Notamacropus eugenii: one gene and its partner. The protein of the gene in region 1 purifies or fractionates together with the protein of each later gene. This does not show direct contact. Links are inferred from orthologs where the notes say so. Each region holds a gene or a part of one and is shown on either strand. Other genes may lie near its edges. The genes, in order: DUSP4 and MAPK8.

Evidence for each region.
Region 2: the proteins of DUSP4 (region 1) and MAPK8 purify together in Homo sapiens (affinity purification with western blotting; 3 studies listed by BioGRID and IntAct, with this or other methods). This does not show direct contact. The link is inferred for Notamacropus eugenii from reciprocal best matches to the Homo sapiens genes DUSP4 and MAPK8.

What each region holds. Positions count from the first base shown.
Region 1 is NC_092878.1:167,815,970-167,826,273, forward strand, and holds the start of DUSP4 (dual specificity protein phosphatase 4), read left to right. Parts: upstream 1-6,397; 5' UTR 6,398-6,454; coding exon 6,455-6,899; intron 6,900-10,304. UniProt on the Homo sapiens protein: Regulates mitogenic signal transduction by dephosphorylating both Thr and Tyr residues on MAP kinases ERK1 and ERK2.
Region 2 is NC_092872.1:219,737,801-219,748,287, reverse strand, and holds the start of MAPK8 (mitogen-activated protein kinase 8), read left to right. Parts: upstream 1-6,564; 5' UTR 6,565-6,699; intron 6,700-10,487. UniProt on the Homo sapiens protein: Serine/threonine-protein kinase involved in various processes such as cell proliferation, differentiation, migration, transformation and programmed cell death.

The DNA of each region.
Region 1 (10,304 bases):
GCAAGAAGAGGAATGAGTTTGGGGGAGAGGATGAGCTCAGTCTGAGACATACGAGGCCTCATGGCTGGGGCAGTGTAGTCCAGTGGCTAGAGACCCAAACTTCGAGTCACAAGACTTGATTTTTACTATCTCTGAATGAATTTCTTCCCCTCTCTGCACTCTGGTTTCCTCATCTGTAAAAGTGGGGAAGGGAGGGATGGACCAGATGGCCTTGAAGCTCATATCTGGCCCTAGGCCTGTAACATTACAGGACAATCTATTGAGGATGTCCAGGCAGAGATGTCCCATGAGCATCTAGAAAGGATGAGAGAGAGAGAGAGAGAGAGAGAGAGAGAGGCCAGGGCTCCTTTCCCCCAGGGTTTGGCCATTTGCCCCATGACTGTAAAGGTCCAGTGAACACCCTTGTATAGTGGCCTGGCCATCGATGGCCATTGAGGCCTCAAGCCCTAAAGGCCAAAGCTGAGTCATTGAGGTGAAAGCAATCCATGCACACAGGAGGAGGAGGGGCCTATCAGCCCTTGGCAGTGGGCAGCTGACCTGCACCCTCTGGCTGCTCCAGGCCTGGCCTTAGGATCACCCCCTGGACAATGTCCACCAGGGCTGAGGGAGATGGAGCTGTCAGGGTCCTTTTCTCTACATGGGGGCCCAGAGTGAGGACCAAAAAGGCCAGGGAGACTTTGTGCATGGTTCCCATAAACACTGCCCCCTCCCAGGACCCCCCCAAGAACAAGGGGAAGATCTTCCTCTACAGGAACAGGGAGGAGATGGACCAAGAACCGAGGTCTTTCTACTTTCGACCTGAATATCTTTAAGCTAGTCACAGCTCATAGACAAAGACCCAGAAGTGATCTGTGAGGGCAATTTTACAGATAAGGAGACCGAGACCTCAGGGCTGGGGGAGGGGAAGGGACCCTTTTGCCTTAATAACCATCACTGGTTGAAGAGCTGGCCCTTGAACACATTGTCGGGCTCTGGAGCGAGGGCTCCCTCCCCAGCACCTGTGCCCAGCTCCCTAGTAAAGGTGAGGCCTTCCTTGACTCCAGGATGCCCTCCAATGCCCCCTTCTGGACTCTCCAAGCCCATGCCCCCTAGAGCAGTAACTTGGGATGGTCCTGCTCAGCTTCGAGGCTTCCTGGGAGGAGCTCAGGGTCAGACTTCATGGGTCTCCCTAGGAGCAGTTGGGATGAGTGGGGACTTTGGCAGCTGAGGGACACATAGCATTGCTTATGAACTCCTCTATTAAGGCAGAAAGGCTCCAGCCATGGAGGCTCCCAGCCCCTAGGACTAGGGACATCTGTCTCTCTTCACACATACTGCTGGGTTAGGGCAGAAAATGGTGTCGAGACCAGGAGCTTCTGATTGGCAGTGGTCCTTGTTCCGCCTGGACTGACTGCCTCCTTGTTAACACTAGAGAGTACTGGCCAGTCAACGACCCTGGGGCTCCAATCTGCAGCATCCTGGCTCTTTGTCCCCCTTGATAAGGGGTGTTTCCTGGTAGCAAAATGGCAGTTCCTTAAGGACAGGGGTTTGCTTAGATTTGCATCCACAGTTGAGCACGTATTCAGTGTGCTCTTTTCATTCAAGCAGCTACAGGAGAGTCTGGGAGCATCGGTTATCCCCGTTCTACAGATTAGAAAGCTGAGACTCAAAGTAGAAGAGACTAGCATTCAGTGTATAAGCCTTTGAACCTAGCTGAAACTCCAGTCTGGAAAGGTAGCGTTTCCTCTCCTCCACCCCTACCTGGCTTAGTATGTGGATTGGAGGGGATCACATTTCCTCACAAATGGAAAGAAATCCCTTTGAATGGGAGAGAGTGTGATGGTGCTGCCTGGAGGCAGGAAGTACTTATAGCCCTTTAGCTTGGGTTATTTTCTGGACAGCTGTCTCCCAGCATAAGCAAACTTCCATGAGACGGCCTTTGTGCTCCCAGTTCTGAGGAAGCAGCTGACAAGGCCTGGGGGCGGTCACTAGCTTCTCGGCTGGGCAGAGGCCACACCAGTATGGGGAGTGGGAGGAACCTGTGGGTTCAGTGCCAGGTGAGTCAAGAGGAGACAAGGAGAGTGAAGAGAAGAGACTCTGGTCACATGTCTCTGTGTGGCCCAAAAGAGCCAGCGCTGCTAGAAACAGGGACCGCAAAGAAGGTGGCTGGAAAGATGCTAGGGGGAACATGAGGTCCAGTGGGTGCTCTGCAGAGGAGAATGGGGGAGGGAACTGGGACATTGCTTTGGAATCCAAAATCTCCCCAAGACATAGGACCTCAGAGGCCAGCTAGGTTGGCCTGTCCTTCAACCAGAATCCCCACTGGATGTCCCAGACCACAGGACCTACCTCACTCCTTCCAAAAGATGCCCATCCCACTTCCCGACTGTGCCAATCTGGCAAGTCTCACTCTGCCTAACTACAGTTTGCACCCAAAGTGCCAAAACCTGTTCTCCAGGGTTAGGCAGGAGTAGCATCTCCTTCCTATGAATCCATTCACTTAAACGTAATTCCCATGACCTCCACTAAATCTCCTCTCCAGGTTGAAGACTTCCAATTCCTTTGATTAATTCTTATGGAGTTACCAGACAGCCTAGTATAATGGTTAGAGCACAATGAGTGCCTCAGTTTCCTCTTCTGTAAGGTAGGTGTGGTTCAGTTAATCAGAGAAAGACGTGAGGGAAGTTGAGCGTCAAGGAGGAGCCTGATGCCAAGAAACCTGGGCCGAGAGGCTGGTGTAGTCCGGGCCGGGCTGAGGCCCAGAGCAGTGATGGAGAAGAGGAAGCCTGTGGCCTCACTCCTTCTGGCCCTACAGAAATCAGGGAAGCTGGGAGTCACATGAATAGAGGGACCATCTGGACCCATCTCTCTCTTTTCTGGCGCTGTGAGTCATGGGGGCTGTCTGGGTCGTGGTGGAGGGAGGATTTTTTAGTGGTACTGTATGGGTTCTATTTCTCCTTGAGTAACTAAGCCCGCTCCCTTGATTGAAGTTTACTCCAGGGACAGGCTCCCTGGGGGGAGGCAGGAGCCCCAGAAATCTGAGGTGTGAGAGGGGCCTTCCAAGCCATACCTGGGTCGTTGTGCAAAGGGGAGCTCCCACACCAGGCACGGAATGGACTCTAAAGGAACCTTCAGGGCCAGCCATCTGTCTGATCTACTCATTCTAAAGAGGAAAACACTGAGACCTAGAGAGAAAGGCACCTTCCAGAGCAAAACCTGCCGCTTCCTTAGCCAGGGATGCCTCTCCCACTTATCATAGCACTGGGCCCTGTGGGGCACTTCATAAGTGTTTGTAGACTGCCTCATTGACTGAGAACATCTCTACTTTCCCAGGAGACTCTATGGGGTTTCTCCCCAGAGTTCCTGTGGGTCTGGGGGCCAGGTGACTGGCTGCAGTGGGCAGATAGGCTGGAAGGCCATTGGGAGACCAGCCAGTCTAATCCCAAGGAAATGTCCTATTATTGGCCACAGAGCTCATACACCCAAGGGCCTGTCTTCTGGCTTAAATCCAGGATTCAGTTTTCTGAGCCTGCTGGTAAAACAGGCATAGGGGACGTTACAGGGTGGAATCACCCTAGGAAGCTTAGCTGGAGTCATACAGGACTCTCTACTCTGTCTGGTACCTACACCAAAGTTGTGCTTTAAAGACAAACATGGGGCACCTTGACTTGATGTGATGTGATGTGACTTTTGAGGATGACTAGCTTCTGTGATTCAGGGCCATTCCAAAGCAGCCCAAAGCTCGAAGAATGCTCTGAGTCAAGGCAAGGCAGCCTTCCCAGCCTGAGGGAGGCCCTTCCTTGGCACCATAGCAGCCTGAGAAAGAGGATTGGCCGTGGAATCTAGGCTGGGAGAGACTGAATTCAATGAATCTGTTCTCTCTCCAAGAAGCTGCCAAACCCAGAGTTAGGGGCCATCCTGGCCCTGCCTCTCTCTCTCTCTCTCTGTGTGTGTGTGTGTGTGTGTGTGTGTGTGACTGGAGGTAAGTCAGTTCCACTCTCCACGTCTCAGGTATGTCATCTTCTGGTCCCAGCTGTGCTCTGTTGGGGCTAGCCCATTCTGCTTTGAGCTAGCTTTCACTTCCAATTCTCTCACATCCCCAGACTTGTAACCACAGACAAGTGCCTGACCCTCAGTCAGTCAATAGACATTCATGAAGCACCTGCTCTGGTCCAGGCACTGTGCTCACTGCCTTCTGGGTACTTGGTGAAACCCCTGGGTGCTTATCTAGGTGTGAAAATTCTAGTACATTGGCTGTAAAAACAAAGCCACCAGGCTCAGATGTGCCCCTCCCTACTCCTGGCCTGGTGCCAAGTACCTAGTGCCAGTCCTTTTCTCCCAGCCCTCAAGGCTATGATTCAGTGCCCACTCCGAGACTCAAAGGACATTTGAGTCCTTTCTCTCCCAGGTGGGTCATCTACTACCACCATCCTTGTTATGCCCATGAAGAAGCAAGAATGCCAGCTCAGAGAGCAGGCAGCAGCAGGAATGTTCCTACCTACATGGTCACCACTTTCAAGGCAGCTATTGATTTCCTAGGTCATGCCCTTCCTCTCCCATCAGAAGCTGAGCTGGAAAGGATTGGGGACACACAAGGAAAGTGGGTACTAGGGTATCAGGTAGCAGCCCCACTCTGTGGGGCTCAGCAGTGCCTTCCCAGGAAGCTGAGCTGGCTCCCGGGATCCTGGGCCATTGTGAAGTCCGCATCCGACCCTACCCAAGGTAGCGTACCAGAGGGCCATCACTGCTGTCACCTGCCTGTAGACACCCGCTCCGTCACCAACAATCATTTTCTCTTGGGTCCCTGCTCCTTTCACAAGCAACGATTTCATTTCACACTCTCTCCAATAGGGTTCTGTAAAATGAGATGGCCATACTGGACCATGGGTTCTGAACCCCCAGAGCCCCTGGATAGGTTTCAGGGAATCAGTGAATGCGGACGGGGAAACATTCACCTTTGGCTGCCAATGGGATCCTACATCTGTTGTACATGTTCAGAGTAAGGGTCCAAGGCTTCACAAGATCAATTGCCAGGGGGTCCAGGACTCCCCCAAAAGGTTAAGAAACCCTGAATTGGAGATGGATGAGCACATAAAGACAGGCCAGACGACCTGAGATTGTTGGGCCTGGAGGAGGGGACACCAGCCCCATTTTATGGTGTTTGAATGGCCACCCCCTCTGTCTGGGGCTTGTTCTGCTCTTGGCTCCATAGGGCAGAACTTGGAGCTAAGTGGAGAAGCTGAGGAGAGACAGCCTACATAGGCCCAGTCACGTATTGGCACTTCAGAAATGTTGATTGATTGATCATAGATTGATTGACTCTCTTCCTAACAGCCAGGGCTGTCTAAGTGTGGCAGGGTCTGGGGTACGGGAAGGAGTGGGAGCTGAGCCATCCACCCACCAAGCACATCTGCCAGCTGCAACTGACTGACCCTTTATAAGAGACCTTAGGGGTTCTAGGTCTTGGACTGAATGGTCGTGGAGGTTCCTTCCAAGGCAAATTCTGGTCTTAAAGTAGTAAGGGACAGTCCTGCCTCTCCCTCTACCCCGTGTCCACTAAGAGAGTGGGGAAATGGCTGGAAGGCCCAGGTTTCTTTCAGCTCAGACTTTCTAGGTCCCTTGGCCTCAGCTACACCGACCCCCATTCTATCTCTGTCAGGGCCAGGAGGTTATGGGAGGCGCTGGGGAGGGGGAAAGGAAAAGAAAAAGGGGGAGAAGAGGCTCAAGGAGAGAATGGGGGGGAGGAAGGCGCTGGCAGAGTTAGGGGCGGGCCAGAGAGAGAAAGCCTCTGGGCAGAGTAGGAGGAGGGGGCAGACCCGACTGGGACGGGCACCGGGCGCTGGCCTGGCACACCGACTCTCCCACCCCACGGGACCCGACAGATCCCGAGAGAGGAAACGAGGCTTTGCCCCCGACCTCTCAGCCCCGGCTTTGGGACGGCTCCTGGCACCCGCTCGGCGCAGCCAGTCGCCAGGCCGGTGCCAGGAGGGGCGGAGGCCCCCAGCCCTGGGGACGTCTGTCTCCCTCCCCGCGGAGCCGGGCTGCGGCCGGGATCTCTGAGTGTGCCCGGCCCGAGGACTGGCCCCGTGCCCGGAGCGCCCTTCCCTAGTGCCGGCTGAGTGCTGGGCACGGACCCTGGAGTCCAGCGCCGGCGGGCCCTCGGAGATCGCCCCGCGTTGTACAGAGAAGGAAACTGAGGCCCGGCCGCGGCAGCCCCAGCCCCGCAGCCCTGCGCTCGCGGGCCTCTGGCCGGTCCGGATTTGTGAATGGCCCGGAGCCGGGGTTCCTCCGGCCCATTGTGACGTCAGCCCCCGCCCCCCGCCCCCGCCCCGCGCCGCTCCATTCACCAGGGGGAGGGGCGGGGCCCCGAGCCTGCCGGAGGATAAATCCGCGAGGCGCGGGGGCGGCGGGCGCGGGGCGAGGACGCGGCGCGGCGGCCACAGGCTCCGGGGAGGGTGGCCGGCCTGCGGGGGTCATGGTGGCGGCCGGAGAGCTCCGGGAGCTGGAGAGCAGCGCGCTGCGGAGGCTCCTGAGCCGCGACGAGCGCGAGCGTGCCGGCGGGTCGGGCGTCGGGCCCGGCGGGGGCATGTGCCTGCTGCTGGACTGCCGGCCCTTCCTGGCCCACGGCGCGGGCTGCATCCGCGGCGCGCTCCCCGTGCGCTGCCACACTATCGCGCGCAGGCGCGCCCCCGACGGGCCGGGCCGGCTGGAGCAGCTGCTGCCCGCCGCCGACGGGCCGGACGCCGAGGCCCGGGGCCGCCGCCTACGTGCCGGCCTCTGCGGGACCGTGGTGCTGTACGACCAGCGCAGCCAGCGCGCGGCCGAGGCCCTGCGCGCCCCCGACGGCGCCCTGGCCTGGGTGGTGCGCGCCCTGCGGGGGGCCGTGCCACGCGCGCCCGCACCCCTCTACCTGCTGCGAGGTGAGCACGGGGCGGGCGGGGGCGGGGGAGTGCGCTCGGGGGCTCGGACCCTGGTCAGGGGCGGGCTGGATCCCCGGGCTCCCTTTCAGCACCTGGGTTCAAGGCCAGCTCCTCCACGCGTGGCTGGGGTTGGTGGTGGAAAAGCTCGTCGGGTCTGGAGGCAGAGCTCGTTCGCGTCCTGCCTCTGACACTCAGGGCCAGTCCCTTCACGGGAGGGACGGGGAAAAGAGGACTCAGGGATCCTGTGCACCTCTCCCCCCGTCCAGGAAACTCTGGGCCACGGAGCCGTATCTGAGTGCCTGGGGAGGTGGTGTCTTCCTGACCGCTCCCGCCCCCTTAACCCAGGCCATGACCCCCTCCTGAAAACCACCCGCTTCCTTACATCCCAGAACTCAGAAGGCTGGCACCTCCCAGGGTCCCCCCTGGCAGACCAAAGCCCACCTGGCCTCGTGGAGACGTCCCTAGTTTCCCAGCCCAGCCAAGAGGCCCTTGAGCCACAGGGGCTCTTGTTACCACACATGCACCCGGGCCATTTGCCTCATCAGCTGTTGGGAAAGGCCAGTGACCTGTGGTTGAACCGCTAGCATCCCCTGCCATAGCCCTGACTCGCCCTTAGATTCCCCTATTTGCCACCCAGAGCAAAGGAAACAAGCCTTGAGCGTATCCCAGACTGTGAGGGGGAGAGGGCAGGGTGTTAGCTTGGAACTGGGAATGTGGAAGGGGGAAAGAAGCTTGGAACAGAGCTTATAGGAGCTGTGAGGGGGCCTAGAGCAGGAAATGTCAGAGGGGAGAGGGACCAGGGAACAGGAAATGTCTTAGAACAATATCAGAGGTGAAGGGACCCTAACACAGAAGGTGAGGGCTGGAAGGAGCCTTTGAATGCCTTGTGCATAGGATGTGACCATGACAGAGGATCAAAAATGGTGGAGCATCAGAGTGAGGAGGGACCCCATGGTCTTTAAATCATCAGGTTTAACTCTTTTGTTGTACAGACACACACACAGTGGCTGAACCAGGGGACTCTCTTGACTGCTCGCTTCTGGCTTCCTCCTGCTACATACACCATGGTGGCTGCCTGCTGGCTACCAAAAACCAGGGAGAACTGTTGCCTTTTTCAGTCATATGAGAAAGGGCTGCCCCCTGCATCCCCTTCCCCCCAGGTTGTCTAGCATGGGTTGGAGAAGACAGTGCCATTCTCTGAGTTTTTGCTTTTCGAGTGTTTGGGGCTGACTGGGGTGGAGTATTACTTTTTTCAGGGTTCTTGTGATTGACTAGCTGCCAGCAATCTGCATTCTCTCCTGCAGGAGAGAGACAGAGGGGGAGAGGAAGGGAGCGAGGGAAAGGGAGGCACAAAGGGGGAGGGACAGAGGGAGAGGAAGGAGAACACGAACTGTCTGCTGCTGGCATCAGGGTATTTGTCTGGAGACAGCTGTTCAAAGTTCTGTGTGGTTCCTTGGATTGTTTTAGAGCAGAGTTGTCAATCTCACCAGTAACCCCTTGGCCCAAGGTTGGTGAAGACCAAATTAAAATGGAATTGTGAAATATTGAACAAAATAAAAAAAAAAGTACATTGTGTGTGGCTTAATGACCCCTCTTTCTATTTTGAGTTTGGCGCCAGCAATTTCATAGGGTGGGTAGAGCCTCCACTGGTGATGCTCTTCCTCCCGGAGCTATTGATGGGAACGTGAATATTTATAGGATCCTGGATCTATACTTAGCTGGAAGGGGCTTCAGGGGCCATCTGGTCTGACCTCCACTTTTTATCGGTGAGGAAAAACAGGCCCAGAGAGGTTCCAGGGTGGGTTTGTTGTTGTTCAGTCATGTCTGCCTCTGTGACCTTGTTTGGGCTTTCTTGGCAAAGACACCTAGAGTGGTTTGCCATTTCCCTCTCCAGTTCATTTTACAGTTGAGGAACTAAGGCAGTGTTAAGTGACTTGCCCAGGGTCACACAGTTAGTAAGTGTCTGAGGCCAGATTTGAACTCAGGAAGAGGAGACTTCCTGACTCCAGTGCTCTGTGCAAGATTCTGAACCATCTCTCTCCTTTTCCACAACAAATGAAATCTTTATCAAGCATTAGGCTAAAATGGAGGTATACTATGACTATAGAAAGTCCCTTATCAACAAGTGAAATAGTCCCACTAAAAAAGGGAATAAGGTTGGTCTGCCCTGACTGGGCTTGAGAAAGCTGGACGATCTCTTTGTAATTACTGCTTCCCTTTTAGAAATCACCAACCGTCTCTTTAATCGTCCATTTAGGACTTTCCCCTAGTACAAGTCTCAGTAACGTTTAACTGTTACCTTTTGAAACTATTCTAGTTTGCAAGAGTGAAAGAACTGAGGAATGATATAGACATGGGTTACCGTATTACCCAGAAATTGCCTCTTTCATCGGCTAGAGTAGAAATTCAGAAGCCCAGGATGGAGTCTTGGACATAACCTTCCCTACTCCTCTCCTTCCCCTCACTCAAGTCCACCACCACCAGCATGATTGACTTTGAGCCTGCATTTCACCAGAGCCAAGATCTTGGTTTGGATGTGGAAGCTTTGTGCTACCTTCCTGAACATCCTCCAGGAGGAGCTGCCCAAGGTGCTGATCACCTGGCTGTGCTTCTGTTCTTAAGGTTGGGGTACCCTTTGCTATTTCTTCCTCTTGCTATGAAATCTGCCTACTTCTTTCTGACATAAGTACTTCTGATGAGCATATATTTTTTGGACATGCACCACCTGTTTGCCCATCAACCAACATGACAGAGTTGACTCTTATAAAAATGGGACGATTATGCTCAGATACAATCAGAATGAAAGCAAACGTGTAAACATTTCTCTTAAGGAACGGGCACAAAGAATATGCTGCCCATTTGCTAAGCATGTGCTGAATGCTGGCTTTATGTAAACTTGGCAGGGTGCCCTCTTTCTATAATATAATTTCGGTCTGCTAAAACTTGATTGGCATTTGGTGTCACTGTCCTGCTGTCTGGGATAGGAAGACTAGGCATCATCCTAGCTGATGTGGGTAGGAGGCAGCTGCTGTTGGGGAGCATGGACCGGATCAGAGTTAGCCCTTCTTATGTCCCGGACTCCTTTGGGAGTCAAGGTGAAGCCTCTGGATCCCTTCTCAGATACAGATTTTTAAATGCCTAAAATAGAATACACAGCATCACAAATGAAACGATTATATTGAAATTAAGATGTAGTTCCCTCCTTTTGCCCCATTTAAGTTCATGAACTTCCTGAAATTTATCAAAGAATCCCCAGAGTCCTTAGCTTAAGAATTGCTGGACTGGATCATACAGTTACAGGGTTTATCTAGAACAATGCAGTCCAACTGAGCAGTAAATTTTTAAAGCTAAAACTGACTTCTCAAAATCTCTTTCTAAGACCTCTGGTGTGCTGGGGACCCCAAT
Region 2 (10,487 bases), on another chromosome or scaffold:
GGCTGATTTTAATAAGGGCAAGAATAATCAAGGAAGGCTTCTGGGAGGAGAAAGACATTGAAGAATGGGTAAGATTTGCACAGATGGAGAAGCGTATGGAGGGGTTTCTCTGATGAAAGGCATAGAACAGGTGAGCTGCGCTGCTTTGCAGGTGATAGAACGGGAAGTCACTTCTCCCTGTGCACAGAGAAGGGTACCGCACCATCAACAAAGAGATCAGATTAGTGCAAGGGAAGGCCACTCATTCTGGGGTCAGAGGACTTGGATTCAAATTTTGTTTCAGATGCTTATTACCTATGTGAACTTGGGCATATCATTTGACCTCCCTGTACCTCGATTTCGTCCTTTGTCAAATAAGGGGTTTTAACTAGAGGGTTTCTAAAGTCTCTTTAAGCTCTAGTTCTATGGGACCAAATACACTTTCAATCAATTCTAGGTTTCCAGATAAATTCTCTCTTTTTCATTTGAAGGCTATTATCTTTTCTTTCTCTGGAAAATAATCTGAGCCATACGTTCAATTGCAGTGGTGAGGGCATTGGTTACCTCCACCTTCTTCTTCTGTTTAGGTAATTGCAGACCAAATTAACCTGAATGAATGCCCCTGGCACAGTTCTGTTAATCTGCACATAGCTGAGGGTAGTTGACCTGACTCTAGGCATAATTATAAAGCATATAAAGTTTGTCTTGGGTGCCCTCTTTCCTTTATCTGTGACTCCCTCCTGGTCTACTCTCTAACTTTCTCTCCCACCCAATCAAAAAAGGTTCTAATACTACTTATTCTACATGATTCCCTTTTCTAGGCATATTTAGAAGGAACATAGTATAGCAGATCAGGTTTTAGACTTAATGTTTGGAAGACCTGGGTTGGAATCCTACCTCCAATTTCTCCTAGCTATATGACCATGGAAATACTTGACAGCCTTGAGCCTATTACCTAATTTATAAAGTAAGCTTAATAGTTAGCAGTAATACTTGTGGGATTGTTGTGAAGCTTAAATCAGATAATGAATGAAAAGCATTTTGCCAACTTTACAGCCCTATATGAATCTCACTTATTTGTATTTTAAACCTTGGGTCTCTCTATGTGGAATAAAGGGATTTGTCTCTTATTAAAGGAATTTGTGACATCAGGGAACAGATGGAAGAATCTGGGAATTTACCATTGCCCCAACATGGCATTGTGCTTACTTGGAAGGATAGCCCTGAAGGTAAACTTAACCTGCTTTTAGTTATTTCAGCATATCTAGATGGGATGAGAGGTGGAGAAAAGAGAGGGAAAGAGATCAATAGGGACTAAACTGTCTATATTTTTTCTCCTTCAGAAGTCATCTTTCCCACCTCCCACTCTCTGGTAGAGGTTGAGTTGGGGCTGGTCTGGCTGCAACTAGGAAAAGACTGTTTTTAGAACTGTTGATATTTGAGGACCCTATGATTTGAGCATCATTAGCTCCTACCAGATGCATCCACTGGGATCATGAGCCTATCTAGCTCAAGCAGAGTGTAGCAAATCCTGCTGTTTCTGTTTTCTAGATTTTCTTCCATACTCCTGTCCATCCTTCCTGCCTCTTCTTCCTACCACCCATTTTCTCTTGCCAGGAGACAAGCGGATATTTGAGGTCCAGAGCCCATTTCCATTGACCTCTCTCTCCTCCATCAATAAAAATAATAGATGAAGTCTATTTTGAAGTTTGTATATGTTAATTCAGTTAATACTTTCCATAATCCAGTCAAATTGGTATTACAGCTACTACCCTACTATTCTCTCTCTCTCTCTCTCTCTCTCTCACACACACACACACACACACACACACACACGCACACACACACACACACAGAAACAGTGAGACAAAGATGAAGAACCTGAGATTCAGAAATGCTAAGTTTCCAATGTCAAAGAGATAGTGAATATCACAGGCAGAATTTGAACCCGGGACCTCCAACTCCAGAACTAGTGTGCATTTTCTGTATCACTTTACCTCTCTACTTTCATAAGCGTTGAGTGGGGAGGTCTATGATGTACAGACCACCATGTTAGGCATGGAGGGAGAGAAAACATTAAGGCACGGCTCCTATCCATAAGGGGTTTATAGTTTTGTAATTGGTCCCAACATGTACACGAATAACTATAAAGCAAAATAGAACCAAATAATTAGACTTATGTCAGTAACAACTAATAAATAGCTGAGGAGATAAGGCTAGGCACTTGCCCTAGATCACTGTTAGTAGGGAACAAATTAAACAGTATCACAAGGAGCCTGAACACTGAACAATCCAATTAGTACACAGAAGCTTCCTTTGTTAGTAATAGCTACAAATACCCTAGGAAGTGTCAACCAGCAGCCTGGGGCAGCTGCATGGCATATTTAAAAACCCAGGTCATAAGTTCACTGTTACTGGTGACAGTCAACCACTCTGCATTGTTTCTGTACATACCAAAATAATTATAGTATCACTGGCATGCATTTCATGGAGGATGGGTTGAGATGGGGCTAAAGCATCAGCTTAGTTTCATAAGTGAGACCAGAAACTGATTTTGATGAGGGGTAAGAATAGGGAGGTCTTGGGGAATTGGAGGTCACCATAAGTGGTAAAGGGTAGATTCAGGAGAAGTAAGAGAATGGGAGGAGTAGAAGGATAGACGGGTTTGGTCAAAGAGAATAATTTCAGAATTCAAAACCTTGGAGGCACAGGCAATTCAAACTGATGGCAAGGTCCAGGATTTGATCAAGCATATGATAGCTAAAGTGAATTTGAGAATTAAGTCATTGGAATGCAGGCAGTGGAAGAGTTGTAAAGTTAAATAGATGGGAGGATCATCAGTATAGATGTTGAAATCTTAAGGATAATAAGAGGTGATGGAGTAGAGGAAAACTGTGTAACCAAGTATGGGATATATTGAGGAAGCTGGCCGAGTCATAGCATCATAGAATCTAGAACTACAAGAGGCTTTCAAGAATAAAGACTATTTACCTCATTTTACAGGTGAGGAAATGGAATCCCAGAGAAAGGAAGTAATTTACCCAACATTATACAAGTAAAAAGTTAGTCAAAATCTGAACTCAGGTTCTCTGACCCTAAATCTATTAATTGCTCTTACTTCTAAAAAGGGAGCTGCCGTATGTATCAATCCATTCCCATGATTCCTTATATCAGAACTCCCTTCCCTCTTCACCACTACTCTATATGTGTTTTCTTCCATTACAATTTAAACTCCTTGAGGGTAGGGGTTGTTGTACCTTTATATTTGCATTCCTTGTACTTAGCATGGAGTCTGGCTCATATCATATCTCTTGAAAGAGGTTTGAGTAGCTGGGTATATGTAGTCACAGAAAGCAAAAACCATCTCTCTCTCTCTCTCTCTCTCTCTCTCTCTCTCTCTCTCTCTCTGTCTCTCTCTGTCTCTCTCTGTCTCTCTGTCTCTCTCTCTCTCTCTCTCTCTCTCTCTCTCTCTCTCTCCTCACTCTCACTCCTTCTCTCCCCTTTCTTCGGCACTCTTCAGTCTACCTGGATCACTTGGGAAGCAGGGTGTGAATGGTTAAGAGTTGTACACCAGGACCACAAGTACCAAAACAATCTACCTTTTATCTACCATCTTTACAAAGCATTCCTCTGTGCTTTCTCAGCTTTATCCTCCTTGAAATTAGCCTTCCTTTTTCATAATTCTTTTGTTTCTATAAAAGTGAAAACTACACACAACCTGTCCCCCTAAAATGTACATTCACAATCAAAAGACTTTGTAGTTTTTGTGCTTTAAAAAAAAAAAGTTAAAATAAAAGACTCACTTGTTGGTAGCAATGCGTGTGAATGCAGGGTGATATAAGTAGTGATGTGTACTTTAAGAAAGAACTGATTTTGACAAATGGTGACCCCAACAATGGTCTGGGCATAGGTGTAAGGAGAAGCCTATGTGTACATGTGTATAGTTGTGTATAACTTGGTAGCTATACATGTTTGATAAGGCAGAGCTGTTCATTTCCTCAGAAACCGGGAGATAGACAGCTCTGTATAAATCAGCAAGTTTATCTTGAAGTGTAGTCAAGACACCAATGACTTGTAAACTCTCCAGAAAAGAGAATCACAATAAGGTAGAGAATAAAAATATTCCTATATTCAAGTCATCTTTATTTTTCTTCAAAGGAAAGGGAGAATTTCTGTTTTTAAAAGAAAGTAATAACAATGGGACAAACAGTGAGAAAAGAATCAGAAAATCCAGTGGATTCCAGAGCAAGCTAAAATGAGCTGGGTGCCTTTAGACAGATTATTTAGTTACTTTGAGAAGACAGAGTGGTTGAATGTATATACAGTGCTGCATTTGGCATTGGGAAGAGTGTGTTCAACTCTTACTAATAAGCAAGAAATAAGTTGTGTGACTCTTGGTAAGACACACAAATTTTCTTTGCCTCAGTATTCTTATCTATAAAGTAGGGATAGTGATAGCTATATTATCTGCTTCACAGTACTATGAGTCTTGAGTGAGATAGTGTTTAAAGCACTTCACACATTTTGAGTATTCTCCAAATATCAGTTATTGTTTTAACGAGAAATTTGGCCTTCTCTATCCTTTCCAACTCTAACATCCATATTTAGATAGTGACTTGAATTGTTGCATACCTTATAGAGTACTAGACTTGGAGTCAGGAAGAGTTGTATTCAAATTCCACTTCTGACATATACTAGCAGTGTGAATGATGGACAATTCATTTAATCTGTCTGAGCCTCAAGTAATGTTCTAGGATTTATCTACTAAATTATACTAGCTAAGATGTGTTGCTTAGTACAAATCTTTCTGTATATATGTTAATTCTTCCCAGTAGAATGGAAGTTCCTTCATGGCAGGGCCTGTTTGGCTTTTGTTCTTGTATTCCCAGCACCTTGCTAATAGAAAGTCATGGGAGCATAGATTTATAGCTAGAAAGGACCTTTATCTAGCCCATCCTTTCTTTTATAAAAGAGGAAACAGAGATTAAGTGACTTGTCCAGGGCCACATAGCCATTCCTCTGTACCAGGCTGTTAAAATGAACAGACATTTATATACCACTTAACAAAGCACTAAGGGGTGTTTTATAGACATATGAGTATATTTGCTGTTTTTGTTGTCATCTTCAACTCTTTGGGGTTTTTTTGGCAAAGATGCTGAAGTGGTTTGCCATTTCCTTCTCCAGTTCATTTTACAGATGAGGAAACTGAAACAAACAGCGCTAAGGGATTTGTTCAGTCACATAGCTAATAGGGATCTGAGGTCAAATTTGAACTCTGGTCTTCCTGACTTCAGGTTCAGGGATCTATCCACTTTACCACCTAGCTGCCACAGTGAATGGATTACTGACATATAGATTATGCTTTACAAAATACCTTTATATATCATTTCATTTGTGATTGGGTTAGGCAATGCAAATATTCTTACTCTCATTTTACAGGTGAGGTACTGGAGCTTCAGTGACTTGCCCCAGGTCACCCAACTAGTAAATGGAAGAGGCAGGAATAAAACCCAAGTGTCCTGAATTCAACGGCTAGTGTTCTTTCCACTACACTCCACACAACAACGACTAAGACAAACATGAATATTGGGGGAGGGAGGTGACTGCGAGGTGGGCCTGGTCAGCAAGAAGTCTCCAATCGAAGGTTTACAAGTGGGCACACAGTAGGTACACAGGTTCTTTTTCAGCTTTATAGTTCTACCTCAGGCTGGCTTCTTTGGCACTGAGAAGCAGCATGGTATTTTGAGTGGAAAGCAGGGTTTTAGTCCTTCCACTTACCAGTTTCCTCTCCTACCACCTAGCTGACCTGGAGGTCAAGAAGAAAAGGCATATTTTGGTTTTTGCCTTAAAAACAAAATAAACTTGGATGCTAGAAGGATCTACAGCTTTGTCATCATGGAAGAACTCCCTCAGATCTCCACCTGGACGTGCTAGCACTAAAGATAAACTCTTGGCAGAGACCCCGGAGTGCGGAGAGACCAGTTCCCCACCTGTTACAGAGGAGGAAACCGAGGCCGGGGAGGTCAAGTGATTTTCCCCAAATTCCCTCTGGTAGTGAGTTAGGAGAGAAATTCTAGGAATTTGCCCGAGGCACCTGGAGGCTGAGTGACGAGACCAAGGTCAGAAGAGGAATTTGAACCGAGTCTTTCTGACAGCACATTATTCGTTACCTTTCCTCTTTATTCTTTCTTAATTAAATGCTATCTAAATGTGAATTGTCAGTATCAGCCACTCAGCCGGGAAATTTACAAAAACGTAGTCCCCGCCCCCATCGGGCCCAGCTCTGGCCACGCCCCTCATTCATACTTTCTTTTTTGCCCCTCCCCCTATTCAGATCCGCCTTTGCTTCTCCCCGGCCTCTCCTCTCCGGCCACCTGGGTCAGCCCTCCCCGCACTTCGCTCTTGCTACGGCTGGCCCCGCCCCCCGGGATCCGAATCGCCCCGCCCCTTCGTGGGCGGGGGAGCGGTCAGGGGGCGGGGCCCTGCGGGATGACGTGGAAGCGTGCGCGGTGACGGCCGGCGCTCTTGTTCCTTAGCCGAGCGGTGGAGGCAGGAGGACGCGGCCCGGAGCCCGGACGAGCCCGGACGAGCTCGGTGGACCGGCCAGCCAGCCGCTCGAGCTCGGGCTCGGACGCCTGTCCCGTCCTCCCCTGCCCCTCGGCCGCCCCCGCGGCGACCCCGGGGGCCTTCCTCCCTTCGGCGCGCGCTTCGCTTGCCTGGGTGAGTGCAGAGCCGGGCCCAGAGCCCGGGGGCGGCTCCTCCGGTCGTAACGGCTGTGTTTATGTTATTGTGCCGCCGCCGCCGCCGCGGTGACCCCCTCCGGAGGGGGAGGGGAAGGAGGAGGAGGGGGCGGCGAGGGGGAGGGGCGCGCGTCCCCGCGAGGGGGGAGGGGGCCCGCCTGGGGACCGGGGAGAGGATGCCGGGGGATCCGGAGAACAATAGCGGGGTGAAGGGGGCCAGGAGGGGGAGGGGGCGGGGAGGAGGACCCAGAGGGGGAGGGGACGGGGCCGGGGGCGATGACGCGCTGCTGCCCCACCGTTTTCCTCCCCGCCCCCCCACCGCCTCCAGCCCCGGGACCTCGGGAGCCCGAGAGCTAGATGGGTACCCACCTCCCTCCTCCCGCGGCGGCGGCCCCGAAAGGGTGGTCTGTGCTTAGCGTATTTTCCCCACTTGCATATTGTATTTTTTAAATGGCCAGGGATGGGGGAGAAGTTCTCAAAGACTTTGGGGGAGGGGGGAGATCTGTAGTCCTTGAAGGCCGGGACGGGGACTGGAAGCGTGCAGCGAGTACCTCGTAGATCCTGGGTATGTAAAAAGAAAATGGTCTTATCATTCCCATCCTGGACCATGTGTAGTGGCTGAGTTGACGCTCTAGGGCATCCTGGGTTTTTGAGTGTGTGTGTGTTTTTGTTTGCTTTTTGTGTTCTGTGGAGCCTTGTTTATGCCAGTAATGTAAAGCACAGATGCATCAGTTATATGCAGATACATCAATGCAAAAAAAAAAAAAAATTATTGGTACCGGCGATGAGTCCTCGGCCGGTGAATGGCAAATGGACTGTTTTAGCTTGTGGTGTTCTTATGAGATTTTTAAAATCTTAAGTAAGGAACTGATCTTTTCTGTATATCTCTAAACGCTTATGCTTATAGTCCCTGGCACGTAATACGCGTTTAATGATTGTGTCTTGACTGACTTGACTGTCCGAGTCACACTTTGGACTGCAGCTGTGTTATTTGGAGTTTGGGTAAATTAGTAAAAGCATATGGTCTTTGTTTTTTCTTTTCTTGTCTTCCCTCGTATATATTCTGTGAATTCAATAACATTCATCACCATCCTATTAAACTGTGCCCAATAAGTGCAATTTGCTTAAATTAGGGATAGGAACTGGACTATTGATTGTATTCCCATAGGGAACTCTCAGGTAAGGAAATTCCTTCTGATAATTGTAGGTTGGTACCTCTTCTGCAGTTGACCATCTCAGATGCCTAGGTGCTGAGAGGTTGTGACTTGCCTGGGATTACAAGGGCAGTATCTGTCAGAGGAGGGACTTGAACCTGTGTCTTGATGATTCCAAGGTCAGCCTGTCAGCTATGCCACAATAGCTAAGGTAAAAATAAAACAATCAAAAAAACCTTCCCACTAAGTGCAATTAATTAACTTATTTAATTCCGAGCTCATGCTACTTTTTTTTTGTTAATGTGGCTTCTTGGCAGTCATCCCACACTATGTCAGAGCTAGGAGTAGAAGGTAAAATGAAGTAGTTCAGTGTGGTATGTGAATGTTGCCTTGTCTACAGTCATAGCCCTGATTTATCCTTAAATAAAGCTATAAGATAACCTAGTGTTTAAGATCCTCATTTGTGAAATGAAGGGACTGTTTCCCTGACTCCTTTTGTCATTAATATTCTATGATTCCATGCAAGGTGCTTTTACTATTTTTTTTAAGTTGGAGGATTAAATGTTCCAATATATTAGAAACTGAAGGATTAAATGTGAACTGAAATTGCAGTTTTTGAAAAATTTTGCACAACATTTTGTCCGTGCATTTTGGTAAGCCACATACAGTTGTGACTAAGTGGCCATACTTTCATATGTACTACCTATCACCAGAGTAGGGGGATCTTGAACAACTTTGTTGAAGTGTTATTGCTTCAGTAAATTGACCTTCTTAAAAGGAACCTCATAATACTAAAATCAAGAATGTTCGGATACAGTAAATAGTTGTCTGAATGTTTGTATTATGAAAGGTACAAGTTCTAATTATTAAGCCAGAAGTATTTATGGCACTAACATATTTTCAATTTGCTTTGTTATAAAAAAAAAATTAAAGGAAGCATGTGCTCCTTAAATTGCAGGTAATGAAATTTTATATTTTTATCTCTGCATCACAGTCATTTCTCATTTTATATCCCCTTTCTTCCTCCTCCTTAAGCCCTCTCTTGTAACAAAGAAAAATAAACCAAAGTGATGGATAAAACCTGTGTACACAAAATTTGATACCCACGGTTCAGTGTTCTGCAATCCACTTTCCTTCTGAGAAGAAAACTATTTTATTCTCTTCTCAGAACCAAGATTTTTCATTATACCCATTGAGTTCAGCTTCCTTTTAATGTTTTTTTTACCTTGACATTATTGTTGTGAAATTGTTCATCTGGTCCTGTTTTTCCCACACCTGTATCACGTCATAGAAATCTTTGTATATTTCTCTGAATTCTCCATATTAGTGCTTCTTACTGTATAATATTTCATTAATAGATTACAGTATATATTTACCCCTTTGATGGGCATCTACTTTTTTTTTTTTTAAGCCAGCCAGTTCTTTACTGCCACAGTGGGAGTGCTGCTATGACTTGTTACATAGAAGGCCTTTCTTTCTGTCATTGACCTCTTTGGACTCTCTGCCTGATTACAACTTCCTGATCAGAGGTCATGAACAGCTTGGTGGCTTTTCTTACATAATTCCAAAATCATTTTATAGCATGTTTGAGTCAGTTCAGAGCTCCAAAAGCAAGGTGTAGCAGTTATTAAGTATCCCCTATGTGCCGAGCCCTGTGGATACGAAGACAAAAATAGAAAAATTCCTTCTCTCAAGGAATTTATATTCTATTAGGGGAAACAGGCTGAACTAAAAGATGGAATACAAAACAGAAAGTAATTTCTTGAGTGAGGGCATTAACAAAGGACAGGATTAGGAGAGCTCCCTGTTCAGAGTATTCCACTTGAGCTGACTTTCCAAGGCAGGTAGCATTTCTCTGAGCTAGAGAAGAAGAGGGAGCTCATTCTAGACAAGAGTGATTGATCAGCCTGTGCAAGGCACAGAGATGTTAGGTGGCATATTGGGTGTGAGAAACAGCAAGTGTGGAGGAGAGTCGTGTTTAGTAGGACTGAGTAAGTACACTGGAGACTGGTTGTGAAGGGCTTTGAAAGCCAAATGAAAGAACTGGTATTATATCCTAGAAGCAAGAGGAAGCTGTTGGAGCTTACTGAGCAGGAGAGTGACATAGATGTGTGCCTTAGGAATATCAGTTTGGCAACTGTATGGAAGCTTGTGGATTGGAGAGACTAGATTTGGGGAGACTACTAGGCTATTACAGTAGTCCAGGGCAAAAGGTGATGAGGACCTGGACTAAGGTAGTGGCTGTGTGAGTGGAGAGAAGATGATATGAGGGGCACTGTGGAGGTAGAATCAGTGAGGCTTGTCAGCTGATTGGGGGTGAGGGAAAAACAAGAATGGAGGATGACTGAATTTGGGAACCTGGGTGACTAGAAGGATTGTGCAACCCTTAACAGAAATTTGGAAGTTAGTAAGAGGATGGATATGCGGAACTACCCATTAAGCAGTTAGTAATGTGGGACTGAATTCAGAAAAACTGGGAATGTGTATGTCTGTCTGTACATGACACACATATACATATACACAAACACATATCCAGAAGACTCAGGTAGACACACCTACACATATGTATATGTGGCAGGGAGGGTACCTATTTGGGAGTCTTCTGGATGGAGCT